Linked DNA regions of Ovis aries. The protein of the gene in region 1 interacts with the protein of each later gene in a biochemical or structural test. Links are inferred from orthologs where the notes say so. Each region holds a gene or a part of one and is shown on either strand. Other genes may lie near its edges.

Region 1 (3,500 bases):
GCACGCATGTGGTTTCATGTTCGTCTGTCGGGTGTACTTCTCACGTGCATGCAGGCATCCCCTCGTGCACACAGCAGTCTTGCTGACTCTGGGCTTTGCCTCCCTCAGCACTTGGACGAGAACAGCCCGCTCGGGGACTTGCTGCGGGGGGTCCTGGATGTGCCAGCTTGTCAGATAGGTGAGCCCCAGCCCTTTCTCTGCCCCTCAGGTTCAGGCTGTCCCTGGTGGCTCTCTCCATGCCCAGAGAGAGGAAGCTGAGGGTTGGGCCCCACAGGCTGCCCTCGTTCTGAGCTCTCCCCACTCCCGGACACCTCGGCACCCTCTGGCTCCCCATCCCCTGCCCCCCGGCTCTGAGGCCTGCGTGCTCGCCCTGTGCAGACACTGGGGATGATGCCGCTGGCGAGCTGAAGTCCGTGGTCTTGGAGGGCTGGTCCTTGGCTGAGACAGGCTTAGAGGTGGGGGCAGGGGCTTGTCTCTGGGCTGCCCGTCCTCCACCCTGAAGAGGAAGGGAGTGAGCTCTGCCCATGCTTGGGGTGGGGTGGGGGCTCAGCCCCGTATCCCCAGCTCTCCTCTCCTCTCCTCCCTCCCTCCAGCCATCCGTCCCGAGGGCAAGAACAACCGGCTGTTCGTCTTCTCCATCAGCATGGCCTCAGTGGCACACTGGTCCCTGGACGTGGCTGCCGACTCACAGGAGGAGCTTCAGGACTGGGTGAAGAAGATCCGGGAGGTGGCGCAGACGGCGGACGCCAGGGTGAGAGCCTGTGCTGGTCCTCCAGCCGCGGGGCAGCCCCCGCTGCTTGGCAGAGGCTGGAGGGACACACGTGCTCCGCAGTGTGGCATGTTGGGGGTGTGTTGAGTTTGAGGTATACCCAAGACGTTCCTGAGTGGCTCTGCGTAGTGACCAGTTGGTGTCAAGGGTAGAGGCGAGAGGCTAGGTCCTGGGCTGGAAGCAGGAGTAGGTGCCCAAGGTTTAGGGTGACGTGGTACAGGTTGGGAGCAGAGTGTGACCTCTGAGGACGCAGGTGTTGAGAAACAAGAGGCCAGGATGAGCAGACCAGTGAGGCCGGGTGTCTGACGTGAGGCGGGCCACAGAGCAGACAGCAGGGCCAGAAGCTCAAAGTGCTGGTTGTAGACGGCCGTGGCCGTGGGCGGTCACGGCTGGGTGGTATGGCAGTGGGCCTCGGCTGGTGGAGGGCAAGGGCGCCGCCTGTGCAGAGCAGGGCGGTGGAAGGACCAGCTTTTAGAGGTGAGAGGAGGGCGTGCTGGCCGGGGTGTGGGAATCCTGCAGTGGGGTGGAGGGGCTGCGGGACACACCGTGGCTGCCTTGGAGAAAGGATGCCCGCAGGCCAAGCCGAGAGGGCTGGGTGCGGAGGACTTAGAGTCGAGCAGGGCCTGGAAGGACCAGGCTGGAAGGATCTGGTGGTTGAAGGGATGGAACCTGGGGTCTGGGCTATGGAGGGAAGGAAGAGCTCGAGAACAGGAGCTGCTTCTGGAAGGAAGCGGGCCTCCACGAGTCCGAGGGCCGCACGGGGTGCTAGTGAGGGATGTGCTGGGGCTGAAGTCTGGCCGTGGCGGGTAGGTGGTGGTTTTGAGAAAGGAGAACTGCGAGGTGAGAGGTGAGGCTTCTGGGCCAGGGCTGGAAGGATGGTCCCAAGGACCCAGAGGACTGCGCCCACGTTCCCAGTGCAGTCAGTGCCCGTGGCAGGCCCAGAGCTGAGGACCAAGTAGCCCTGAGGTGCAGCCGGCCCAGCGCCCTGAAGTGTCTCTGAGGCGCAGGTGGTGTGAGGATCCCGGCCTCTGAAGCTGGGAGGGTGTGTTGTCCTCAGGACGGTTTCTGGGGTGTGACTGAGGACAGCCGGGTCTGGAAGGTGCGAGTGGGCATGCCCAAGGTGGCCGGGGGCTCCTCTCTCTGGGGGCTCCAGCCCGGGCTCAGGGCCCATGTGTCCCCAGCTCACCGAGGGCAAGATGATGGAGCGGAGGAAGAAGATCGCTCTGGAGCTCTCAGAGCTCGTCGTCTACTGCCGGCCTGTCCCCTTCGATGAAGAGAGTAAGGGTCCAGCCCGGGGTTGGGAGGGGGCTGGCCCCAGCAGCACCTGGATGGGCGGACTCTGAGCGCGCTCCCTGTTGGGCCCAGAGATTGGCACCGAACGCGCCTGCTACCGTGACATGTCATCCTTCCCGGAGACCAAGGCCGAGAAGTACGTAAACAAGGCCAAAGGCAAGAAGTTCCTCCAGTACAACCGCCTGCAGCTCTCCCGCATCTACCCTAAGGGTCAGCGGCTGGACTCCTCCAATTACGACCCCCTGCCCATGTGGATCTGCGGCAGCCAGCTTGTGGCCCTCAACTTCCAGACCCCAGGTGAGGCAGCGGCCGGGGGCAGGGTCCTGCCGGGCACTGGGGCTGGAGTCCACTGTAACCCGCTCTTGCAGACAAGCCCATGCAGATGAACCAGGCCCTGTTCCTGGCTGGCGGGCACTGCGGCTATGTGCTGCAGCCCAATGTCATGCGCGATGAGGCCTTCGATCCCTTTGACAAGAGCAGCCTCCGCGGGCTGGAGCCGTGCGCCATCTGCATCGAGGTGGGAAGGGGGCGCTCTCCTGGGCTGGTTCTAGGCGCCAGGGCCGGGGGGCTGGCTAACGTGACATGGGAGGGGTGCTGGACAATCCTGGAGCTTGAGGGAGACGAAGCCATTCTCTGAGGTGGGCGTGGGGCTTCAGGCCTGCACCAGAGGACTGGGCTCAGTGTGGCCAGTTCTTGGCACTCGGGAGTCATGCGGTCCAGTAATACCAAACCGTGGATAGCCACTGCCTGGCAGGAGTGGGCAGAGACAGGCAGGGAACTGGTGCCCCTGCCACAGGAATCGGCTTGATGGTACTTGCTAGAACGGGGGCTTGAACAGCACTGAGCTCCCATGCCACCCTCTCGAGGCCCCAGGGGAGCAGCTGTGATGCGGGCGGCTTGGTGCTGTGGGGTGCAGGGGGTGTGGGCCCGAGTGGGTCTCAAAGGAGAAACGAGGACAGAGTGGGGGTGACCATGTCTTTTTTCCAGAGATTTCTACTTTTTTGTCCCGGGGGGAAGTAATTTAAACATTTTCGTATTAAAATGCACATGGATTTAAGGTAGGTTAGAGTGCAAAGACTCACATGGGACTTCTGGGCAGTGTCCTGAGGGCCCAGCAGAGGGCGCACTGCCTCCGCCGCTCATTGGGGACCGGGTGTGAGTCGGAAGGACCAGCCCAGGCCCATCCTTGCCTGCCTTACAGGTACTGGGGGCCCGGCACCTGCCGAAGAACGGCCGAGGCATCGTGTGTCCTTTTGTGGAGATCGAGGTGGCTGGAGCCGAGTATGACAGCATCAAGCAGAAGACGGAGTTTGTGGGTACGTCTCCCCTCCCCACACCCCCGGGCATGTCAGACCCCCTGCGCCTGTGACTCCATCCTCCCGGCAGTGGCCTGAGGCCTTCTGCCCTTGCTTTTGCAGTGGACAATGGACTGAACCCT
Region 2 (3,500 bases), on another chromosome or scaffold:
TTAACCAGCACACAGGAACAAGTAGGCCAGCCAGACCACACTGTTTGCCAGCCCTGGCCATTGTATAGCTGCTACCAGGTGTCGTGCTGGAAGGCTTGGATCTTAGGGCACTTGTAACCAAAGCTAAATGTAATTGATTATGTAATTTTCAACTGTTCCAGTGTTTTATAAGTTTATTATTAGCTGTGTTCATTGTAAAAAAAAATTAGAAAATAAGTCAAAAGAATGAAACAGATATTGATGTATAACTCTACTACCCAGATACAACAACTATAAATATAATGCACCCTTTCAGCCCCCTCTTTTTTTTTCCTACTGAGTAATAGTTAATTCCACTAAAAATCCAGGAACAATGAATGACAAGAGGAAGGTTGTTATGAGGAAATCTGTCTTATGAACTTGATTCCCATTTGAATTCTGTCCAGTTGGATTCTATCCAGTTATCTTTGCTATCTGTGTGTGGACCTTCTCTCATCGTTAATCTCAGTATGGAAGAAAAAATCCACATGGCCAGGTTTATGTGCCGATTTCTTATCTCGTGGCCCACTATTGCAAAAATGATGTAACAGGAAAGTCACCATAGGCTGATATTCCAGGTCCCTTCTTGTGACACTGAATTCCTTTGGAATTTGAAGGACTTGTTTCTTTGGGAGGACTTAATAATTAACAGCTCTTACTGTGTGTCTGCCACAGGTCAGACTCTGCTAGAAGTCAGAAGTACAGTCCGTAAGACATGGTCCTTGCCCTTGAGAACAGTCGGATGGAGGCAGACCAGGATATTATAGAAGTGCGTCAGGTGCTCTAAAGTGCTTCGGGAGTAGGGAAGCGAGACCAACCAACTTGGCTTTGGAGAGTTGAGGATGGCTAGGAAAAGGAGATGACACTTGAATTCAGTCCAGAGAGACCTGCCGTATGGCGCCTGCCGTCTTCAGCAAATAGCATTCTCCTCAAGTTCCACTATTTTCTGTGTTATGTCCTACTTTTCAGCCTGGTCACACAGTTGCCCATGATAATTAAATGAAACTTGCCAGATGGACGCTTTTGCAAGACGATGGCTTGTCTTCTTGCTCTATTTGTGAAAGCTGGCGTTGGATCCAAACTCTCAAGGATGCCCCTACCTTGAGATTGCTTTTGGAGTGTTGCTCTTTTGTGTGTATTAGCCAAATGGCCTGCCCATCAGCAGGGCCAGGTTGAATGACAGGTGGGTGTGCCATGCATGCAGACACTTTGATCCCTGCCAAGCCATTTTGCCTGCAAGGAGATGAGGTGCTGAGAGGTTGTTCTACAAAGATGTCATTTATCAGCATTACCTTCCTTCGAAGAAATTAGTTTCTGACCTGTTGGCCTTTTCCTCTGACCAAATATATTTATTTTTCCTATCAGTTGCAATGTAATCAATGTCAAATTCCCAGTTCTTTGGGTTAAAACACATACATGTTATCATGCTGTGTTAAGCAGTTTCTCTTCAATATCTAATATCTTTATATATTGAAAAGAATATGTAGAGTGACCAATACAGTTAACTTAATTGGTACCAAACTTGATTAACCTAGGAGGGTGGGTACTCTAAGGAGAAAAAATAATAAATGAGTAGTAATAAAGTAGTAATTAATACTTAAAATTTTTTTGAAAATTTATTTACTGGCTATTCTGGGTCTTAAGTCAAGGCATGTGGGATCTTCAGTTGCAGCATGTGGGATCTAGATCCCTGACCAAAGATCGAACCCAGGCCCCCTGCACTGGGACATAGGCTCTTAGTCACTGAAGCACCAGGGAAGTCCCATTAATTAATGCTTTTACTGTTTGATTTCTGTGAATCATTCTTGATTCTTTGTCAAGAATCATTTCACTTCATTGTCACAACATCACTATGAAGAATTCCTGTTGTTACTGTTGTTATTCCCATTGGATACCCGGAGACTTGGTGGACAGCAGAGAGCCACCAAAAGCCAGAGCTTGGGTACAGTTCTGTCCACCACACACAGGGCCACCCACAGCTCTGTGCACAGGCTTGGGGGCGGCACCCGCGATGCTGTGCCAGGGATGCAGGATGAACTCATCACTGTCCCTGCCGTCAGATGCTTCCAGTATAGTTTACTCATTCTTAGAGGGTTCACATCCTTCAAGTGTATTACCAGTAGAACAGCTGAATGTAAGTTCTTTTCCCGTTCACTAATCTCAAGAATTTGCAGGGTACCTTTGATTGAATATCAGTTGATTATTATAGTTACACAGAAATGTCAAATTAGGGCATTCCTGCTGATACAGTTTACTTTTTCAGTGATTGTACTCAGGTTTAGACATATGTATGAGTAAAACTCTTGGGCTGGTTTCCTCTTCTAATTTTCTATTCCTATTTTGCATTTGAAATAAAAGTTTGGAGTTAAAAGCCCATATTGTGTTTTACTCTGATGTTTTGGCTTCTCTATAAAGGGGTGATTCAGCTGCTCGTCTGCACCATCCCTTCCACACCCCCATCAAAAAAAGGAGGAGGGAAATTTTCGAGAGGGGGCGGATCTTATCTCTTCCTGTAACTCCTCCTAATTTCTTCTAGTTCTTGCAATAACTTGAAATTCCAATGAGATTCTGATGGCAGGAATACTTTAATAAACAGTGTTGTTAAGTCACATCTGACTCTTTGCAACCTCATGCACACCAGGCTTCCCTGTCCCTCACTATCTCCTGGGGTTTGCCCAAGTTCATGTTCATTGAGTCGGTGATGCCATCCATTCCATCTCATTCTCTGCCACCCTCTTCTCCTCCTGCCCTCAATCTTTCCCAGCATCAGGGTATATTCGAATGAGTCAGCTTTTTGCCTCAGGTGGCCAAGAGTATTGGAGCTTCAGCATTTTCACCTGTTAGACAGTTGGGAACCCTAGAATCCTGATTAGAACCCATCTTCCAGGTTCCCCATCCCTGGGAACAGAAACCTTGCCAGGTGGTCCTGCAACCTCAGTCATCCCTGAGGCAGGGAGAGCTCAGAGACCCCCACATCCACAGGATGAACAGTCCACACGGGGGCTGGGTAGCTTTAACCAGGAAAGCCTTTTTCGTGGTCAGACCTTCACATCCTTCTACCTGTACCTTCCATTCACTGGTTCACATTCTCCCCTTTGAGCAACATGTTCCCTTAGGGTCCCTTTCATCCTTGAGAAAGTTTTTAAAAATTCAGAAATTGTGGAGGGAGCCTTGGTGAGGTTTTCTAGCAGTCTGACATATGGCCGCTTCTCTCTTCCTCCAGCAAAACCAGAAATTCTGACGCATGACAGGCTGGTGAATGGCATGCTACAGTGCGTGGCCGCAGGGTTCCCAGAGCCAACCATTGATTGGTACTTTTGTCCAGGAACCGAGCAGAGGTGAGATGATTATTTTGGATACCACTTAACACTCATCAGGAAGACTGCAATTCAGTTGAATTTCAAATATGTTTTCAAAGTATTATTATTTTTTTAAAACTTTGTTTTGATTAATTTTTTTCTATCCATGTGGCTTTTTAGAGA
Region 3 (3,500 bases), on another chromosome or scaffold:
AGAGGAACATCAAGGAAAAAGAATATTTTTCAACTGAATTCTCCCCTCAATATTTTTCACTAAAAAAATTAAGAGTAAAAGAAAATAAAAGTATAGGAGACTATTCAGTGGAAGATTCTGATGATTCGTTTGCTGGTGTAGAAATAAAATAGGAACATATGCCTTATTACCTGTTCTTCCCCAGGGGACTGTGGTCTAGGTTTGCTGGGAACTGGCGAGAAGTTCCTGCCTTCCACTCTGGGAAGTGGTCTGTTGAGGGGGCCTTTGAAAGTATAGCATTTTGAACGTTAATTTACTTTAAGCAATTTTTCACTAGTCATAGCCCATCACTGCCCGCCCTCCACAATGCCCTTGCCATTGTTCCCAGCAATTAACGTTTCAAGAAACCACAGCTTCCAAAATAACTTTCACTTGTTCAAAACCACAAGGGCTGTTTCGGGCCCTATTCTGCAGCCATGCCAGTGAAATTCTGAGACACTACACCGCACACTTGATTGGTTGCTTAACTGAGCAAGTTACATATATACCACCAAATGGTAAAATGTGGAGGTCAGGATAATTATGTTCTCATTTTCACAACAAGACATGTGACTTACCCAAGATGAGGTGAAATTACCTTGAATATTCTTAGATTTCAGAGCCAGAGCTTACTACCTGCTGTTCTTGACCAAATTTCTTTTAGAAGTAGAACTGTTAGACTCACATAGAAGGAGGCCCTGACAGTATCTGATCCATCAGGAAGCCTGTGTCGGAGTCTGTAAATTACCCAGCATTTGTGCCTCATCTTCTCTAATGCTTTTTTTTTTCCTTGTTGACAGTTCCATGAAATTTTTCAAGAGAATGTGTTTCCTAATCTCAGGGAAGGTTTGATTGTGTTGATTTGCAGTTGCTAAACCTGTCTCTATATGCCAGAACAGCTATTTCAGGCTGGTAAAGTCCGTGAGTTGAATGTTCTCTTAACAATTCATGCATCACTCATTTGTTCATTCAACAGATATTTTTTCAGCACTGCTGTGTCCAGGCCCTGAATAAGACACCTGTGTGCATGACCTTTCATCCTCACAGCAACTCCACAAGGTGGGTATTGTCTTCTTTTTGAATATCATGAAACAAAGATTCAGAGAGTCTAAACAAATCATGTGTCTTAGTGGCAGAGCCAGAACTTGAGCTTGTGGTTCCCAAATATGACTGTGCGTAAAAGAGAATTCCAGGGGGACCCTGAATCACCCAGGCTCAAGAATCTGCCTTTAACAAGCACTCCAGGTGGTTCTGCACCAGCTCTGTTACTTCATCTAATACATCTAATACACCACAGAGGGTAAATCGCCTGCCCCAGGGCCCCTGAGAGGGGAGAGTTACTTGAAGAGTCCAAGTCTTCCTAGTCAGGATTATTCGAGATGCAGATGGGGCTAGCCTGAGCTGCTGATCTTCCTTCTTAAGGCTCCCAGTGCCTGAGCAGACCTTCCGCATGACAATCTCTGCAGTGCAACATTGTATAATGCTTGCTGAGTGAGTGAGATCTAGCTACGTGAGAAAGTCATGCAATGAAGGTCTACAGGGCATGGCTGTCTTAGAACTGAGGAATTATTCTCCATCTGCATCTGCAGGTCAGCACCACAAAGTCACTGTTCATGACAGACAACATATTACTTTTCATTGCAGTCACCCTCCACCCTTAATAAATAGATCCTCAAGGGAACTGGCACAGGTTTTTGGCCAATATAAAGCACATGCTTTATCTTCCTGACCTTGGGGAACCAGTGGGTTAGACTGAGGACCAGGTGTCCTGGCACTCTTGGGAGAAAAGGGATCGATTTTGATTAAGGTAGTAGAGTGAGCCCTCTGCGTTCATGGCTTCCGCATCGGTGAATTCAGCCGACTACAGACTGGTTCAACCAATGGGTTAGCCAGGTCTGTGGATGTGGAGCTGTGGATGTGAAGGGCCAACTGTGCGACATCATTTTATACAGAGAACTTGAACATCCTGGGATTTTGTTATCAGTGGGGGGTCCTGGAACCAATCCCCCCTCCTGTATTAGAGGGATGATTATATTCAAAAAAATAATAAAAGCCAACTGTTTATATTAATAATCTCTGTCACCAACTCATAGAAGCAGGGGTCTATGGAATTTACTTTGGCAGATACTGCTATAAGTGAAGTGTCTCAAGCTCAGATGCCTGGACGGACCAGGCTAGGGACACAAAGTAGGTTTACAAAATAATGAGTTGTGGCCACTGAGGGGTGGGGGGAGTTGTGGAAGCCATGTAGTGAATAAGGACACTATATCCTAAAATGCTTAGGAAACATTGAAAATACAGTGGGTTTCATTGGTGTCAGCAGTAGAATCTCATACATATATGGCATGATGTACCCAACTGAATGTAATAGACATGCCCCTAAAAGAAAGAGTCGACTCTTAAGTGAAAATTTAAACTTATTAGTTTTCTGTTTATAACACAAACTAATGTTCCTGCATGTGTACATGACTACAAAAAAAAAAAAGTGTTTTATTTTTTCCTCACAGAATTTTTAAATCTTAAGTCAATCTTTAAAAATTAGGTAATTTCACATTGAAAGCCATATTTCTATGTTTTCTTGAAAAATAAATCAGAAAATCTGGTAACACAAGATGTGTTTTCTAGCATGAGAAGAAAAAATTGTTTACTAGAGTTGGGTGACTCTCCATAGTCATTTGACAGTCATTCAACAAATGTTTTAAAGTGCTTACCATGTACTAGTCACTTGCAAGTCCTTAAGGATAGAAAATAAACACAGCTAGTCCTACTGGGTAGGCCTTTGTTTCTACTTGAAGTGGTCCATGAACCAGCAATACCAGCTGGGAACTTGGAACTTGGGAATCACATGGAAACTTGCTGGAAATGCAGAACCCTGGGTCCCATCCAAGACCCACTGATTAGAATCTGCATTTTAACATAGCTCCCAGGGGATTTGCGTGCCTTTTAAAGTTTGAGGACTCTCTCAAGAAATACTTACCATCGACACCCAAAGGAAATATTATTAGAAAATACAGGTCTTCAGCCAGACTTACTGTATCAGAATCCTGGGGGTTGGGGGTCCCTTAATCTGTATTTTAAACATGTTCCTCAACTAGCACTCCAGGTTAGATTCATTATAGAAATCTAAACTACAGAGAAAGCTAGCACCATCCTAAGCATCATATAAAAACAGCCGGGAAGAAAAGTTCCGCCTGGGAAGATAAAGCCAAGGGCGCCTTCCTGCGGAGGAGTGTGTGTGTCTGTGTGTTGTTTTTGTTGTTGTGTGGAGTATCCTATCACTACAGCAACCTTTGGTACACTTCAGAAACCGAAGTGCTGAATAATGAAGTCGGATGCTTTTAGGAAACAACAAAACTTTTGCCGAAAGGCTTTGGGACGACGGCATATGGGCTAGAGTCGGTCACTAGAGCGCAGAGAACAAACCTTGAGAGAAGCATGGCGGCAGGGAGGCGCTCTGCGGAAAGGTAGGGTTGCTGTGGAGA
Region 4 (4,045 bases), on another chromosome or scaffold:
GTTGGATGGAAACAGCAGTCGACTGCCTCCAGTCTCAGCCTTCTACCCAATTTTATTGTCAGAGGAGATCCATTAAGAAGTCTTCCAAACATCGCTCACTCACTCACTCAATCCTCACTCACTGTCAGTCTTGGAGGTTCACTTTACTTTGTAAGTGTGGAGGAGGACATGGGGGCTTATAGTCAATCTTGGACCCTGAAGCCCTACCCTGTCTCTCCTCTGGCTCGGTGAAAGGCTGCAAGGGAACGGGTAGATACCACCTGTTCCAGCCACCCTTCCCTGAGGCGGTGGCAGCCTAGTGGGAGGCAGGAGTGGGAATGGAGGAAGGGAGGTGGGTGAGGCCCCAACCCCTCCTCCTGGATGCACCCCTAGTCTGACCACTCGACCTTTGAGGGGTTCCCATTCCCTATCACTCCCCATGAAGGGAAAAGTGTGAGCTAGACCCAGCAGAGGAGTAAACAGACACGAGCTCCCAGAGGTGCCTGGGAACCCTAGGGTCCTTGGGTTGAAAAGAAAACCACTAGGAGGCTGGTCGTTTCTGCAACAGCCCCACCCCAACTCCCTTCTTGCCAGGACACCCCCTCTTCCAAGTCAAGGCGCCAACCTTTCTCCCCAGATAAAGGAGGAGCCAAGATTTCTGCACAAGGAAGCAGGGTGTGTGTGTGTGTACACACGCACACACATTCGCACGCAGACAAACACGTACACAGCTCCCCTACTAGCCCGGTCCGTCCTTGGGTTTCCTTGTTAGGGAGTATTGCAGGTGGCCCCATCCTTCCCACCTGCCCGCATGTGTTTGTGCAGACTTTGTGTCGAGCTGGGGAGACTACAGTGTTAGAGGTCCCAGTTCCCTGCCACCCTGAGGGTAAAGTCCATATTACACAAACAAGAGCAAAGGGCTGGGCGGGAAACGATGAACAACACCTCTGAGGAGGAACCAGGCATCTAGGGGAGGAGTGGAGGGGGAGGGGAATTCAAAAGTCCTTGCTATACCCAGCGACCAGGGGCACCGGGAGGGCCAGTGTCACGGGGCTCCCCTTTGGTAGAGAGCACTGGGGTGGGTCGCAACAAGAATCTCCAGCCCCTCCTCAGCCAGAGGCCTTCTCCCCCAAGTCCCCCGCCCCCATCACCGCCAGGACAAAGGGGCTATAGAAGGACTGAGACGGGGCCGGATGCCCAGAGGCTGCAGGAGCCAGATAAAGGGTAAAGAGACCCAACCATGCCTGCCTCCTGTCTCCCTCAGGGAAGGCGGCCAGGATCCAGGACTCCTGGGTTCCCAGCTGAAGATTCCAGGGGCCTGAGCGGAACAGTGAGACAGTCACTTTACTCCATCTCTCCCACTCCAATGCCCAGACCCCCGCCCTCTACCAGCTGGGAGTGTTCACATCCCAAGATCCCAGGGTCTAAATTTAGGCCCAGCAACTGTGAGGGAAGCACAGGTGTTTCTCCCACTCCCACCCTGGGGAAGGGGCCCTGACAGTGCCAAACCCCAAGCTGAGATCTGGGGGGGAGGGGAGGAAATCAACAGAACTCCTCCAATGCCAGCATCCCCAGCACCCCTCAGTTGTCCACCACCCCAGAGACACCCCAAAGAGGGGGGCTTAGCTGGCATGGGAGTGGGAGGAGGAACAGAGGGGTGATCTGACTCTTGTCTAGACGGCTGGAGACCGCCAGACAATAAACAGAATGGGAGTAGGGATGAAGCTGGCTCTGAGAAGGACCCTCCCCATGATAGGGGGCTCAGAAGACAGGACAGGTGCCCTGTCAGCCCTCAAGTTGGGGAGAGAAAAGGCTGAAATATAGCGGCTGGAAATCCTTGACCCTATAGCTGGTGGTCCAGGGCTCTGTACATAGTAGATGCTCAGTAAATATTGGTTAAATTGATCTGGGGCTTAAAAAAAGTTTGGTCAAGTTGGAGACCAGCCAACTTTATTATTTTGAGAGAACGAGGGCAGTCAGCCTCTGCGTGGCCGCTCTCCCTGCTGTCCCCTGGACTTAGCCCCCAGGTTAATCTCCACTCTCCCCAGGGCAGGCCCACTCACGGAAGAGGAGGTGTCACTCTGTTTTCCAACACTAGAGAACAACAACCTCTCCCCCTTCCACAGCTCCGCCCTGTCGGCAGAACAACGAAACTGGAGCTTGCTGAGCCCCAGGGGCCAAAGAGGTCTGGAGTAAACCGAGATGCCCACCTCCGTGCCCCGCTTCCTCCGTGTTCTCCACCTCCAATCACCCCCTCACGTTTACAGAATGGAGGTCCTAGTTCCCGTCCCTGTAGGGTCCTCAGAAGTGTGAATGGTTTAAGCATCCGCCGGAGAGACAAATCTGAGGGTCTGCGAGGCGCCCAGGAGGCGGTGGCCGGGGAGCAGGTCCCTGAATCGCGTCCCCGCCCGGACCACGCCGAGAACCCCATCCTGACGGTCCCGGGCCCAGGGGGTCCCAGCCGGCGGGGGCTTCACACCCCAGCCTCGCGCAGCCCAAGCTCCTGCCGCTGGCCTCCGGCACCCCACGAATCCGGCTCGGAATCCCGGGTTCGGAGCCCGCCAGTGCTCCCGCGCCGCTTACCTGCCTGCGAATTGCCCACCTCGGAGCCCCGGGCCAGGCTGAGGAGGAAACCCAGCACCTGCAGAGCCCGGTTCACCTTCATGACTCCAGCGGAGGGTGAGGGGAACCCAGCCCAAGCCGGCCGGGAAGGGCCCTGGACTAGGACATCGAAGCGGAGCCACCTGAGCCGCCAGCGACCCCGGTAGCGGCGGCAGAGGAGGCTGCGAAGTGCAACCGGAGCCGGAGTCCGGGGCGGGATGGCAGGGGAGGAGTGGAGTCTGCGAGGGAGCGCAGGACGGAGCGCAGGGGGAGGGGGTGAGTCTCGGCCGCGCCCCCTCGGGCGCGAGGCTGGAGTAGCGATTGCCGGAGCTTCGGCGGCCCGCCCCGAGCTAGCGCGCCCCACGCCCAGTGGCCGGCAGCTTGGCCGCGCAGATCCTAAACGGCTCTCGCCCTAATTATTCTCCCGGAGTCCAAGATTCCGAACGCCCCCAAATACTTCCAGAGGAGAAAGGTAATGGGGGTGGGGAGAGAACGCTCCAAAGCCCGACCCCCTGCGAGTTGGCCTCGCCCACTAACCAAATCACTCAACTCCCCTAGCCGGTTGGGTCACTTGGGGGAGTTTCTGTCTCAATGTGTTTGCCTGTGTGTGTGTGTGTTTTTGAGGGGGAGGGTGTTTTTGTCGCCTTGAACAGGCCACCTCAGTTTCCCCGGAAACCCCCTCGAAACCCCATAACTCATCCGCCCTGCCGAGGAACCCGAGCTCCAGAGGCCGCGTGAAATTGCACTGTCTCCGGCCGCTTCCTCCTCCAGACCCGGCGCCGGCCCGGCCTCTCCCGGGGATTTGGTAGGGGGGCGGGGGTGGCTTCCAGCCTGGGAACAGACCCCGAAGCCCGCCTTTTCACTTCCACCCCGGGAGGGGCTCCCGCACCTGTCGCTGTCCCCTCTGCTGCCCCCCACGGCCGCCTGGGAGAACAGCTGCCTCCCCTTGCACACTGGAGTCGGACCGCGCCGTCGGGGCGGCCGCCTTCCCCACCACAGAAGTTCACTTTCCCAGGCCTTCCGGGCCTGGGGTCTTCCTGGAAAGGAGGAGGAGGGGGACGCCGAGAGGGCCCTAGAGACTGCGTCCCCGAAAGGCATGAACCCAGGGCACCAGCTCCCGGATCCTAGCCAGAGGCGCTGTTGACCACCACGAGGGGATGCCCCCAAACCCAGGCCGACACCAAATGGATAGGATGGGCACTTCCTGGTGCCCAGCCGGCGGCAGTGAGGCCTCACACGGTGTGGCATTCCGGATCTTGCCCTGAAAGCCTAATTATTTTCCCCAGAGTTTCAAGCCTGAAGACTTCAAGAACAGTTGAGCTTTGAATAAGAAAAATTCCACCTCTCACTCTGAGCCAAGAGTACTGGCTAAAATTCTTTAAACTTGCTTTGCACCCTGGAGGGCCTGTTCTGTGATTGGAGGCTACCTTTGCCCTCTGAGTGTTGACCTTGTCCTGACCACTTA
Region 5 (3,994 bases), on another chromosome or scaffold:
TAAAGCTTATAATCAGGCCAAGAATTTTTTTTTTCCTATTTAACAGGCGTATAAATGACTTGTATTTATAAAGTTACAATTCTTCTTTTCTGTCCTGAGCACTAGTCACTGACTGTATCTCTATATTTTGTTACTTTGAAGATGTTGTGTGTCTACTTATGATTTTAGGACATGTTTGTATAAAAGCAGGTCTACTTCAAATCACATAAACTTATAGCTATGATTCAATTAGCATTTGATAGCATAATGACAATTTATACTTCTAGATATAATGTACTGCAAACAGTTTTAGTTGTATTATGTTAAGTATACATAATATTTTTTTTATCTTAAGATGCTTGTAAAACCTAAGAATGGGATTAAAAACTTTGGTGACTTTATATTCGAATATATCACTCAACCTGAATATGTTCTTTAGCTTATTTTAATAAAAGTTAGAACTATTTCTGTCTCCTAATTTTTGTTCAACTCAGCTATTAGTCTGTTGACTAATACTTTGTATTTAAGTGAGAAAAACTGTCATCTTCGTATATTAATTCCAGAATTTGTTATTTTATTTCCTATCAGTTGGAATATCTGAATAGCTGATGTAGCAAACTATTCCTTTTGTTGCCTATGGCTGGGAATTTTTACAAATGGAAAACTAGCAAAAACTTTTCCAGTCTGACCGGCTTGATGTTTATCTCTGAGAACATCTTTACAGCTTTACTTTGAGGCTCTAAGATTCTTTTTCCTTCAGTTCAAATTTTTCTCTGGCCCTTTACCATACTTAAGCTGCAAGATGTTCTTGTATCTTCAAGCCCAAGCTAGCTTCTGTTATAGGTTTAAAAACACAAAAAGGCTCAAGACCAAACTTAGACTAGTGATCAGAGAGAAAAACAATTGATAAAATAATGAATGAGTCACTATTTAAATATACTTCAGTTCTTTTATTTTTTTCTGAACTAACCTTTCTGCTTTCATTATTTTTAATAGCACTTATGTAAAAAGAGTGTGGTCAATTATTTCCAATGGTAGCTACAACAATTTCTCTGAACCTACATCAGTTTTACCATGATACTTTCCACTCCTCTTATCAAGAGATGAAATCTCGCTCCCTCTCCTCATCTTATGACCTGTGTCTTCCTTAGATGCCCTGTCCCATTTCTGGGCTTAGCCCTTGAAAGGTCTGGCAGCTTCTTCCCCAGACAGAGAAGTCCTCCATTTCTCTCTGAGGAAGCCAGCCTCCATGCTGTAAAGAAGCTTGAGCTAGATACAACTAAATGATAAGACACCACATGGAGAGGAAGAGGCAGGTGGAGGAGCACCACGGGGGCCAGTCATGTGAGTGAAGCCTTCCTGGACTTTCCAACTCAGTGTAGCCACCAGCTGAAGATCCCCAGATCAGCATCCCTAACCAGCATCAGGTAGAACAGAATAACTGCCCAGCTGAGCCCAGTCAACCTACCAACTATAAGAAATAATAAACCAGTGGTTTTAAGTCACTACTTTCCAGGTTGGATTTGATATGCAGTAATAGATAACTGAAACAGTATGTTTTTAAATTGTATACTGTTTAGTGGAGAAACATATTCTCAATTTATATGCAAACTTTAACTAAGGCATAAAGTTATCTTTTTAATTTTGTTGAAGTATAGTTGATTTACAATGTTGTGTTAATTTCTGCTGTACCTCTAAGTGATTCAGTTATATATATATATATATATATATATATATTCTTTTTCATTTTGTTTTTTCACTAGATATTGAATATAGTTCCCTGTGCTAAACAACAGGACCTTGTTGTTTATCCATTCTATTTGTAATAGTTAGCATCTGTTAATCCCAAACACTAGAGAAAAAAAAGGCAACTCATTCCACTATTCTTGCCTGGAAAATCCCATGGACAAAGGAGCCTAGTGGGCTACAATCCATGGGATTGCAAAAGAGTCAGACACAACAACTAAACAATCCCAAACCGCCAGTCCTTTCTTCCCCAGCCCTCTCCCCTTTGGCAACCATAAGTCTGTTCTCTCTGTGAGTTTGTTTCTGTTTCATGAATGAATGAATGAAAGTCACTCAGTTGTGTCTAACTCTTTGCAACCCCATGGGCTACACAATCAATGGAATTCTCTAGGCCAGAATACTGGAGTGGGTGGCAGTTTCCATCTCCAGTGGATCTTCCCAACCCAGGGATCGAACCCAGGTCACCCACATTGCAGTCGGATTCTTTACCAGCTGAGCCACCAGGGAAACCTTTCTGTTTCATAGATATGTTCATTTGTGTTATATTTTTAGATTCCACATGTAACTGATATCATATGGTGTTTCTCTTTTTCTTTCGGACTTATTTCACTTAGTATGGTAGTCTTTACCTCCATCCATGTTGCTGCCTATGGCATTATTTCATCCTTTTTATGGAAGAGAAATAGTTCATTGAATATTCACTGAATATCTGTGAATATTCACTGAAAGGACTGGTGCTAAAGCTGAAGCTCCAATACTTTGGCCACCTGATGTGAAGAGCTGACTTATTGGAAAAGACCCTGATGCTGGAAAAGATTGAAGGCAAGGGAGAAGGGAGCAGAAGAGGCTGAGAGGGTTGGATAACATCACCAACTCAATGGACATGAATTTGAGCAAACTCTGGGAGTTAGTGAAGACAGGGAAGCCTGGCATGCTGCAGTCCATGGGGTCACAGAGAGTTGGACACAATTTAGAGACTCAACAACAACAAAACATTCCATTGTATGGAATACCACATTTATTGTATTCATTCTTATCCATTCGTCTGTCGATGGACATTTAGGTTGGTTCTACGTCTTGGCTATTGTAAATAGTGCTGCTTTAAACACTTTTTACATGTATCTTTTCAGATTATAATTTGGGGGTCAGATGTTATTTAGCCTAGAATATACTCTAGGGAATCTAAAAATCCTTCTTCCCGGTTACCCATTGGCCTCTGTCTTTGATTCTTATTTATCTTAGTCAACACTGCTCTACTTCCCAGGGGGAAATCATCTTCTCATAAAACATGTATAACCACCCTATGGGGGAAATCTAAAGCACCATAATGAAGAAATGGTCCAGACATTGTATTCTATCAAATCTATGATTACATTCTAGCTAGAAATTTGCTTGATATCTTCACAGTGATCCAATAGGTGATTTCCTTCTTTTTGCAAGAAAAATATTTACATCTATGTTAGATAACTGGCTAGATGCCAGACTACTCATTTTCTATCTTTTGTCACCCTGCCAAAAAATATATATATGTAAGTAGTCAGTCAGTTTGGGTCTTGATGAGTGTTCTTTAACCAGTGCTCTTCACTCATTATCACACTCACTAGACATCAGCTAGGTCATCTTCTGGATGTTAGCGGAAAGACTGATCTACACTGAATGAGCTTCTGCTCATAACCAAAGATCTCTAGCACATTTGATTCTTCAAGGTAACTGGTGCCATTGTCTTTCCACATTTGCCCTCTTTCTCTTTTAACCTGAAAGGCATCCAACCAGAGGTCAGATTTTGGCTTTGTCACTTACAGGTCATGTCCTTTTATCATCAGTGTCTTCAACTCTAAATGAAAATTTTTAACAACCTGAAGTTGTTATAAGTATTAAGTGAAACAATTATGTTAATATGCTTGGTAGCATAAGGAGCTATGTAAATACTGATTATTATTTTTAATACCTTCTATAACTTTTGAATATATTCACTTCTACAGTTTGATATGTGATCCCTTGAAATAAATCCATAGAGTTGTTTAATTACACTAGTTGCCATGTTCTCTCCCAAAGAAGTAGGAGAACTCATCTTACTCAACAATCTCCTGTCTTCCATTTGGCAGCTCTTGCATTTCTAACATGAGAAAGAGCTTACCTTCTAGCAAATAAAAATGTCAAGTTTTTCTATGTACACAACTTAGTTTATTGGCACTATTTTAAATGTCCACATATTACCTAACAAACACTGTCAAGTACTAGGAAGAAACAGAATCTTAAAGCCCTCAGT
Region 6 (3,500 bases), on another chromosome or scaffold:
GGGGTGGAGGGGGGCAGGGTCAAGGGGGGCGCTGGTCCGTTTGCCTGCCCTGTGAAATGGGGTGCTCGGCAGCAACACCCGCCCAGGGGATGCCGGCAAGGTCTGCAGATAAGCCTAGGGTCGGGGGCGGGTCACCCCATCTCCTCTGGGGCCTGTGGGGGACAGAGCTGGGCCGGGACTGGGGGAGGGGGGGAGGAGGGGTGTCTGGAGGCACGGGCCTCTGAATGCCCACTGCCTGCGCTCTACCAGGGAGACTCCTGGGACCCCAGCCAGGCCCCAGAGCAGGCTTCCCCTCCCACCTGGGGCCCTCCGCGAGGCCGCCTGCTCACCTTCTCGAAGACGCGGTAGTTCCTCACCTTGCTGGAGGTCTCATCCCACACGACCAGAACCTGCAGGGAGAGCAGTGCGCAGCACAGGGCTCGCTCGTCTTGGGAAGACGATGACCTTAGACCCCGAGCGGGCCCCTCAGAGACGGAGCCGGTGGGCAGCAGAGTCAAGGCGTGTCCGTGGGGGCGGGTGGCCCCACACGCGGAGAGCAGAGTCGCGACGGGCAACCTCAGCCCAGGACGCCTGCCCTCAGAGTCAGGTGAGGCGTCAGTGGCAGCACCATGTGTCTGGCCCACGCTGGGACCGCCCCTGATAGTCATGGGGCAACTGAGGCTCAGTGGGGTCACACAAGTCACCCTTGGAGGGGCCTGGGTAGAGCCAGCAGACGTCCCACCAGGCTCACCACCCTCAAGAAGCCCCCCTTTAAGGTGCAGGAACAGGAACCCCACCCTTTCCTTCCTGCCTCGAGCCCGTGCTGGGGGGTAGGCATCACTCCCGACGGTGATGTGACCCCCCAGGCCCACCTCCCTGGGTGCCTACCTTCCCCGACTTGGTGGAGGAGTTCCGGATGCAGTAGAGACCGTCCTGGGGCACCCCCCGGGGGCTCGTGGCCTTGAAGAGCCTACGACGACACGGCTGCGTGGAGGGGAGCCGCCCACGAGCAGCTCTCAGGACCCTCCAGCCCACCCACCTCCCCCATTCCGAGAGCACCGGGGGCCATGGGGGCAGATGCACAGAGCCCGGGAGTCGGGGGGGGGGGGGAGGGGAACAGAGAGGCAGGAAGACCTGAGGTGGGGGCGGCAGGCCCCGGCAGAGAACCTCAGGTCTGCCAACACGAGGCCGTGGAGAAAGGCGGACTGCACACTGACCTCTCCACCTCGAAGGACTCTGTGGTGTTGATGAAGACTGAGCTGGGCAGTGGCACCTGAGTGGTCAGGGTCAAGGGTCAGGGTCAGGGTCATGGCCCGAGACCGGGGGTGGGGGCCCCCCTCCTCCCCGCTGGCTGCCAGGCTTTGCTGGGAGCCAGGCGTTTGCACCAGGTTCGACCCTCTAGCCCCAGAGCCCCCGGCTTTCCGGCAACCCCCCACCTCCCCCGACGACTGAGATGTGGGCACCCCCCCAACCCAGCCTCGCCTTCTCATAGTCATCGTCAGAGCCCTCCCCGCCAGCGTCCGCCTGCGACGTGTCAGTCTGCATGGGTTTCCGGGGTTTTTCAAAGGAGAAGCTCCTGAAACTCTGCCCGTCAGGGGGTGATCGCCTGGGAGCGAGACAAGAGGGAGGCCGGTCAGACATGGGACAATGCCCCGCTCCCCTCGGTGACCCCCTCTCGCCCTCTGAGTGACCACACCGAGCCTCGGAACCCAGGGGGTCTGGTGCCTGAAGCCCCGGCAGCCGTCAAAGGCTTGCAGCCGAGGAGCTCCAGGGCGGGGGCGGTGGGGGGGGGGGCGGGTATCCGCACTGACCGCCCTGGGGCAGCAGGAATTGCCTGAAGCCCGGAAGCCTGAGCTGGGATCGCTGGCCCGGGGCATCCTGAGCTCTGGAGGCTGCGGGAAAAGGCCCCGGTCTGAGGGCAATCTCCCTGCCACGGACCACCCCTGTGGCCTCAGCCAAGCCACGCTCCCCCAACAGCCACGAGAACAGATGCCAACAGCCCGAGCCAAAGGGACACGCCCTCACGAGTGGCCACGTGCTCCTAAGCCTCAGGGCTCCAGGGAGGATTCAGGGAGGCCACCCTGGACGGGCCGCCAGGCTGTGTGTGCGGCTGTGCTGTCGACGCTTGGCTGTGGCCCAGGCAGCCCTGTGGTGCTCGGGGCCAGGCCCAGAGCCTGACATAGGGACCCAGCCTGCAACTCTGCGACCCCTCACAAGACAGAACCACCAGGGACGTCCTGACGGGCACGGTGCTGACAGAGCCCTGCGGGGCGCAAGACACAGTCAAGGGTGCCCAAGGAGAGCTGGGCGGGAGCATACACTCGGGGGTCGCCCCGTGGACCCAGAGCCTTCACCGCCAAGGGCCCCATGGCCTGGGGCTGCCACGACACACGTGTTTCCCGGCACTGCCCAGCAAAGAGGCCCACGTGGTATGGAGCAGGCCTCAGGGGCAGCCGGTCAGTCCAGGCAGGAGGGCAATCGAGGAGCCTTGCTCCCCCCATGCCAGGGCCACCTGGCACCCACATGGGCTGAGAGCCAGGGGCAGGGAGGTCTGGGGTCACCAGAGGGTAAACATGCCAAGGAGGGGTGTCCCAGGCCAGGGGGTGTCCTGTGCCACACAGACTCACTGGAGGTGCGGGAGCGCCGGCTTCTCTGGCCGGGGCAGGACGGGAGGCCGGTCTGCAGCCTCGGGCATGGGCAGCTTCAGCAGAGGCGGCCGGGGGGCCACAGGGGGCACACGGGGTCCAGTCCTGGCCACCTCCCCCGGGGGACTCTCTTCTACCATCTTCAGGAACTTGGGCTTGTTGGCTGGCACAGGTGGGGGCTCGGGGGCGGGCGGCCCCCGGGGGGACAGATGGAAGGACTTGAGCTTGTCACAGTTCCAGGAGGCAGCCGTGGCCGTGCTGGAGGGGTTGACCCCGTGTGCGGGGATCCGGGGCTCCAGGCTGGGGCTGCTGTTCTCGGGGAAGCAAGGGGCTTTCCGGAGGCTGGGCCCGGGGGGCAAGATGTTGGATGGGGGGTCGCTCATCCTCCGGGAGACGGTGGGCACCCTGGAACCGGGCTCCACCCTCCGCAGGGCCGGCGGCTCCCGCCTGGAGTCCTCGGGGGCCGGGCCGGTGTCCGGGAGGCCGCGCTTAGGGGGCGGGGGTGGCAGCAGGGGGCCTGGACCCTTGGAGGTGAAGGAGTGGGCACGGGGCACCTCAGAGAAGACTGGCTTCCTGGGCGTGGGCACAGGGGGCGGAGGGTAGGCCGGCGGGTGGATCAGGGCATCTGCAGAGCAAAGAGAGCCACATGGTAAGTGGGTGTCCCCCGCTGGAGGCTGCAGCTGCACCCCTCGGGGGGCAGTGGACAGCCAGGGCCCCTGCCCCGCAGCCTGGCCGCCCCACGCCCCCCATGCCTGGCACTCCTGGTGTGGCCTTCCTTCTGGGTCTGGCCCACCTCACGCCACTGGGCCCACCCCAGATGCCCTCCGAAGCCTGGGCAAAACTTCCCGAAGCCCAGGTGCCACATCAGGTTCCCAG
Region 7 (4,022 bases), on another chromosome or scaffold:
AAAGAAAAAGAAGCTGAGACCTAGAGAGGGGAAATGTTGGCCCAAAATCATACATCTCATGCTGCAGGTATATCTTGCCCCACACACATGTATTTAGTCATGGAAGAGAGGGAACCCAAGACCCTGATGTTAGCCTGACTTGGAAGAATCCTTAATACTTCCCTTCATTTGAAATGATTATGTTATACCACCCTTCATTCTCCTTCACAGATATAATGATGATACAAATAGTAGCTAAATTTTATTAGGTGTTTACTAGGTGACAGGACTTATTAAGCTCAGTTCTTTATAAATTAAGTTGAACTATATGAAATTGCCAATATATGACCCTTTTTTTGGATCTACCAAAATGGAAATTTTCAGATAGGTCTATTTAAATACATCCTCTCTTAATTTTTACCATTTTTTCCCCCATGAAGTGAATACTATTATAACACCCATTTTGCAAATGGCAGAACTGAGTTTTCATTTAAAAAAATAAATTAAACACATGTTTAAAACCTTTTCTTCCCACAGGTGTAATACTATTATCGTTTATGGGCAATGAACAATGCACTCCTGTGTGCAAATTGATGGCTGTAAGCAATGGAATGTCACATAGAGAAAAAATAATAATAACGAATATATCTTGTCTTTTTCAGTAACTGAAAAATTTTACAATCAGTAAATTCTTATAATATTTAGAGAAATGCTTTTTAAAATGTTATTTATGAATATAAAGCATAGGCATTACAAAATAAGAAATTTGACGTTTGTGAAACATATATCTGCTGTATCCCATATGGAAATGTTAAAAACTGTAGCTCAGGGCTCCCCAGGATGAATTAATTGTTCTAGAATTTTCATAATGCTCAAATGAAGAAACTGAGTTTTTTTACAACCTTTTCTACATGCAAATTATAACCAACAAAATTCTGAATCAAGATTATCTTTGTAGGACTGTGTGCAAATACCATTGTACAGAACTCACAACCAAACAGTTCACAAGCAATAATTGTGCTCAGAAACAATCAATACTAACTACATGAGATGACACCATGTTGAATGTTGAGTCAGGGAAAAAAACTGGTAAAAACCACAAAATGGACTTTGAAAAAATATTTAAATGTAAATGAAAACTCTTTAAACATAAAACATGAGCTTCTAATGTCCCATTCACAGTTGGAAACAATTTGACCAAGGTCATATGATTAATCAGCTCTAAATGATGAATCCTCCAGGTTGAAAACTTGGCTGTTGGCCCTCTGTTAATTTAGTCAAAGAATACATATTGAATACCTACTAAAGGGGCCTTGCACGTAAGTAATTCCATATTCTTCTTGACTGGTGGATTATTATCAGTAAGAATCTACTTAAGACAAGCATGTCTTTTCACCTGTAAAAAACAGGCAGTATTATTTCACCAGCAGCTTAGAAGTTTGGGCATTTGTAGGCTCCATACCTGGCCTGGCCTCTTTCAAGACCCCATATCATTGAACACTTCAAATCCCAGCTCTCAAAAGACCCAAACTCATGCCTACACCTACTAAGTTTGGTCCTGCCAAGAATCAGAGTGCCTTTGTCTCTAAGTGACCATCAAGCACCTAATGCTGTTTTTGCTACCTTTCTGATGACAGAAAAATAAATCAGTGATATAGCAAGAAGGCAAACATGCTTCAAAAAATTGCTGAGGTGGGCTGTACAAGTGCTACTTCATAGAAACAAAGGATTTTAAAGAAGAAAGGAATGTTGTAGGCGGTGTTTCCAGTCCTTTCATTTTATCAAGAAAGAACTTGACGCAGACATTTGCTGAGGCTAACTCACCTAGAGAAAAGTGGAGTTTGGTCCCCTGATGCCTCTTCCAGTGCTTTTTGTACCAAACTGCATTGTTATGATTATTTGTGTTGCTCTTTTTATTACTGATGTTATGGTATATAAGAATATCTTTAGAAATATAAAGACTGACTTAGCTAAGCAGCTGTAGTCTTCTGGTAAGAACTGCTGGTCTGTACTGTATTGTATTTTGTATGTGATAACCCTAGTCTCCTGGGAAGTTCTCCAAGGGATGAAGAGGTTTACCACTGGGCTTTGTAAATTTTAGACAGTTAAATGCCCAGAGACTATTATTTTAAATGTCAGGTGAGTGATGACATTGAGACAAATAAAACTGAATCCATAAAAATGTTGAATGGGACCCATCACTTAACCATTTCGTTTGCCAAGTAAAGTAAATTTAAAAGTTCAACTTAACCTTATAGAGGAAAGACAAGCTAATAAGCAATAAACTTACTCTTTTACTGAAATCACCTGATATAATTACCCTTTCTTGACTACTCTCCATGTTCTCTCCCAATTACTCTTACTATACATTTTAGGTGGTTATAATAAGCACATCTGTGTTTTCTGTGTTCTTATTTTATTGTATGTATATCTTCATGATTCAGCCCAATCTAACTATAAAATGCTATTTTAAAAATAGACAAAATAGAGCGATCACATACCCCATGACGGTCCTCAAAGTACGCCAAGCTGGTTTTGGTTAAAACAAAGAATCGGACTTTAAAGTTTGAAGGAGAAGTTCTTCTCTTTTGTTGGGATTTCTTGATGAGCTGCTCTTCCAGGAGGATAAAGTTGTTCATGATCCAATTCTTGAAAAGTGATGCACCTTACGCATCACCCCTCAGCACAACCAGAGGAAACAGCTTCAGGGCAAGGAATGCGATGGGGAGGCAGTTGATCTTCTGAGAGCTGTTCAAAGGCAACTTGCCTCCAATGTTATCTCTCTATCAACGTTCAGTCAACATCGCAGAGCTTCTCTTCTGATGTCAAAGCCCATAACCACATCCTTTCAAAATTCACAAAACTATGAGGCATATGTAAAAATTATGCATACCTTTTGCTGTATGGTTTAGAAATATTTGAAAAACCTTAGACTCAAAATGATATGACTGATTAGATTTCAATCTTTATAGTTCCTGGTTTAGCTCATCCAACAGTTAAGCCCTGTAGCACAAGGGGTAGGAACATGTGCTTTGGAGTCGAGGGACATGGGTTGTATATTAGTTTTCTATTGGCTTTTTAAACTACAGCAAGTTTAGTGCTTCGTGAATTTATTGTTCTGTGGTTCAGAATTGCAAAATGGGTCTCACTGGGCTAAAATCAAGATGTTAGCAGGGTGCGATCCTGTCTGGAAGATCTCAGGTAGAATCTGTTTCCTTGCCCTTCCCAGCTTTAGAACCACCTGCATGCTTTTACTCTTGACCCTCTTCCTCCATCTTCAAAGCCTAGGACAACAGTCAATTGCTCTAATTTTATACAACTGTTACCTCTTCTTCTACCTTCCGCTGGCATATTTAGGGATCCTTAAGATTACATTGGGTTTGTGTGAATAATCTAAAATAATCTCCCAATTTTAAGATCTGTTTATTAGTAACCTTAATCCCACATTGCACCTTAATTCCCCCTTTGTCATGTAAACTAACGTAGGCACGGGTTCTAGGGATATCTTTACCTATCAGAGGTTGACTTCTGGCTCCACTAACTTCTGGCTTACTAACTGTGAGACTACAGGCAAATTACTTGAGGATTCTGAGCCTCAGTTTTTTTTTACCTGTGAAGGGGAGTAATGGTACTCCTACATGTGGGGCTGCTCTCTGGCTCTCTTGCCAGTCTCATCTCATACCTTGCTCGCATATTTTCACTTCAGCCCTCATGCATGCTTCTCAGGCTGCTTTGGATATCTGCTCCCGTTGCCTGAAAACATCTCCTCTCCCCTGTTTTACCTGCTTTGAGTTATACTACTAGTTTCAGCCTACATGTCACTTCCTCAGGGAAGCCTTCCTGGCTTTACTAAGTCATTTCCACCAATTATATGCAGAAGACACCTTATGACATAGCCTTTATGACAGTTGTCATTGTACTTTTTGGAGGGTGATTTTTGGATTAGTGTTTGTCTTCCCCACTAGTTTCAGGTCAGTTCAGTTCAGTCGCTCAGTCATGTCCGACTCTTTGAGACCCCATGGACTGCAGCACTCCAGGCCTCC

Evidence for each region.
Region 2: the proteins of PLCG1 (region 1) and KIT form a complex in vitro, tested with the Homo sapiens proteins (3 studies listed by BioGRID and IntAct, with this or other methods). The link is inferred for Ovis aries from reciprocal best matches to the Homo sapiens genes PLCG1 and KIT.
Region 3: the proteins of PLCG1 (region 1) and LCP2 form a complex in vitro, tested with the Homo sapiens proteins (2 studies listed by BioGRID). The link is inferred for Ovis aries from reciprocal best matches to the Homo sapiens genes PLCG1 and LCP2.
Region 4: the proteins of PLCG1 (region 1) and ERBB3 form a complex in vitro, tested with the Homo sapiens proteins (2 studies listed by BioGRID and IntAct, with this or other methods). The link is inferred for Ovis aries from reciprocal best matches to the Homo sapiens genes PLCG1 and ERBB3.
Region 5: the proteins of PLCG1 (region 1) and SOS1 form a complex in vitro, tested with the Homo sapiens proteins (2 studies listed by BioGRID and IntAct, with this or other methods). The link is inferred for Ovis aries from reciprocal best matches to the Homo sapiens genes PLCG1 and SOS1.
Region 6: the proteins of PLCG1 (region 1) and SH3BP2 form a complex in vitro, tested with the Homo sapiens proteins (2 studies listed by BioGRID, with this or other methods). The link is inferred for Ovis aries from reciprocal best matches to the Homo sapiens genes PLCG1 and SH3BP2.
Region 7: the proteins of PLCG1 (region 1) and ITK form a complex in vitro, tested with the Homo sapiens proteins (2 studies listed by BioGRID, with this or other methods). The link is inferred for Ovis aries from reciprocal best matches to the Homo sapiens genes PLCG1 and ITK.

Annotation. Positions count from the first base shown.
Region 1 is NC_056066.1:69,811,715-69,815,214, forward strand, and holds part of PLCG1 (1-phosphatidylinositol 4,5-bisphosphate phosphodiesterase gamma-1), read left to right. Parts: intron 1-108; coding exon 109-178; intron 179-593; coding exon 594-751; intron 752-1,950; coding exon 1,951-2,047; intron 2,048-2,134; coding exon 2,135-2,359; intron 2,360-2,430; coding exon 2,431-2,579; intron 2,580-3,263; coding exon 3,264-3,378; intron 3,379-3,480; coding exon 3,481-3,500. UniProt on the Homo sapiens protein: Mediates the production of the second messenger molecules diacylglycerol (DAG) and inositol 1,4,5-trisphosphate (IP3). Plays an important role in the regulation of intracellular signaling cascades.
Region 2 is NC_056059.1:70,928,192-70,931,691, forward strand, and holds part of KIT (mast/stem cell growth factor receptor Kit), read left to right. Parts: intron 1-3,241; coding exon 3,242-3,356; intron 3,357-3,500. UniProt on the Homo sapiens protein: Tyrosine-protein kinase that acts as a cell-surface receptor for the cytokine KITLG/SCF and plays an essential role in the regulation of cell survival and proliferation, hematopoiesis, stem cell maintenance, gametogenesis, mast cell development, migration and function, and in melanogenesis.
Region 3 is NC_056069.1:2,324,873-2,328,372, forward strand, and holds part of LCP2 (lymphocyte cytosolic protein 2), read right to left. Parts: intron 3,492-3,500; coding exon 3,442-3,491; intron 263-3,441; coding exon 171-262; intron 1-170. UniProt on the Homo sapiens protein: Adapter protein primarily involved in signaling pathways within T-cells, as well as other immune cells such as platelets, mast cells, and natural killer (NK) cells.
Region 4 is NC_056056.1:163,452,890-163,456,934, forward strand, and holds the start of ERBB3 (receptor tyrosine-protein kinase erbB-3), read right to left. Parts: upstream 2,801-4,045; 5' UTR 2,645-2,800; coding exon 2,563-2,644; intron 1-2,562. UniProt on the Homo sapiens protein: Tyrosine-protein kinase that plays an essential role as cell surface receptor for neuregulins.
Region 5 is NC_056056.1:85,013,965-85,017,958, forward strand, and holds the start of SOS1 (son of sevenless homolog 1), read left to right. Parts: upstream 1-1,194; 5' UTR 1,195-1,323; intron 1,324-3,994.
Region 6 is NC_056059.1:116,633,548-116,637,047, forward strand, and holds part of SH3BP2 (SH3 domain-binding protein 2), read right to left. Parts: intron 3,250-3,500; coding exon 2,607-3,249; intron 1,586-2,606; coding exon 1,462-1,585; intron 1,253-1,461; coding exon 1,197-1,252; intron 950-1,196; coding exon 868-949; intron 390-867; coding exon 330-389; intron 1-329. UniProt on the Homo sapiens protein: Binds differentially to the SH3 domains of certain proteins of signal transduction pathways. Binds to phosphatidylinositols; linking the hemopoietic tyrosine kinase fes to the cytoplasmic membrane in a phosphorylation dependent mechanism.
Region 7 is NC_056058.1:66,446,634-66,450,655, reverse strand, and holds the start of ITK (tyrosine-protein kinase ITK/TSK), read right to left. Parts: upstream 2,801-4,022; 5' UTR 2,619-2,800; coding exon 2,481-2,618; intron 1-2,480. UniProt on the Homo sapiens protein: Tyrosine kinase that plays an essential role in regulation of the adaptive immune response. Regulates the development, function and differentiation of conventional T-cells and nonconventional NKT-cells.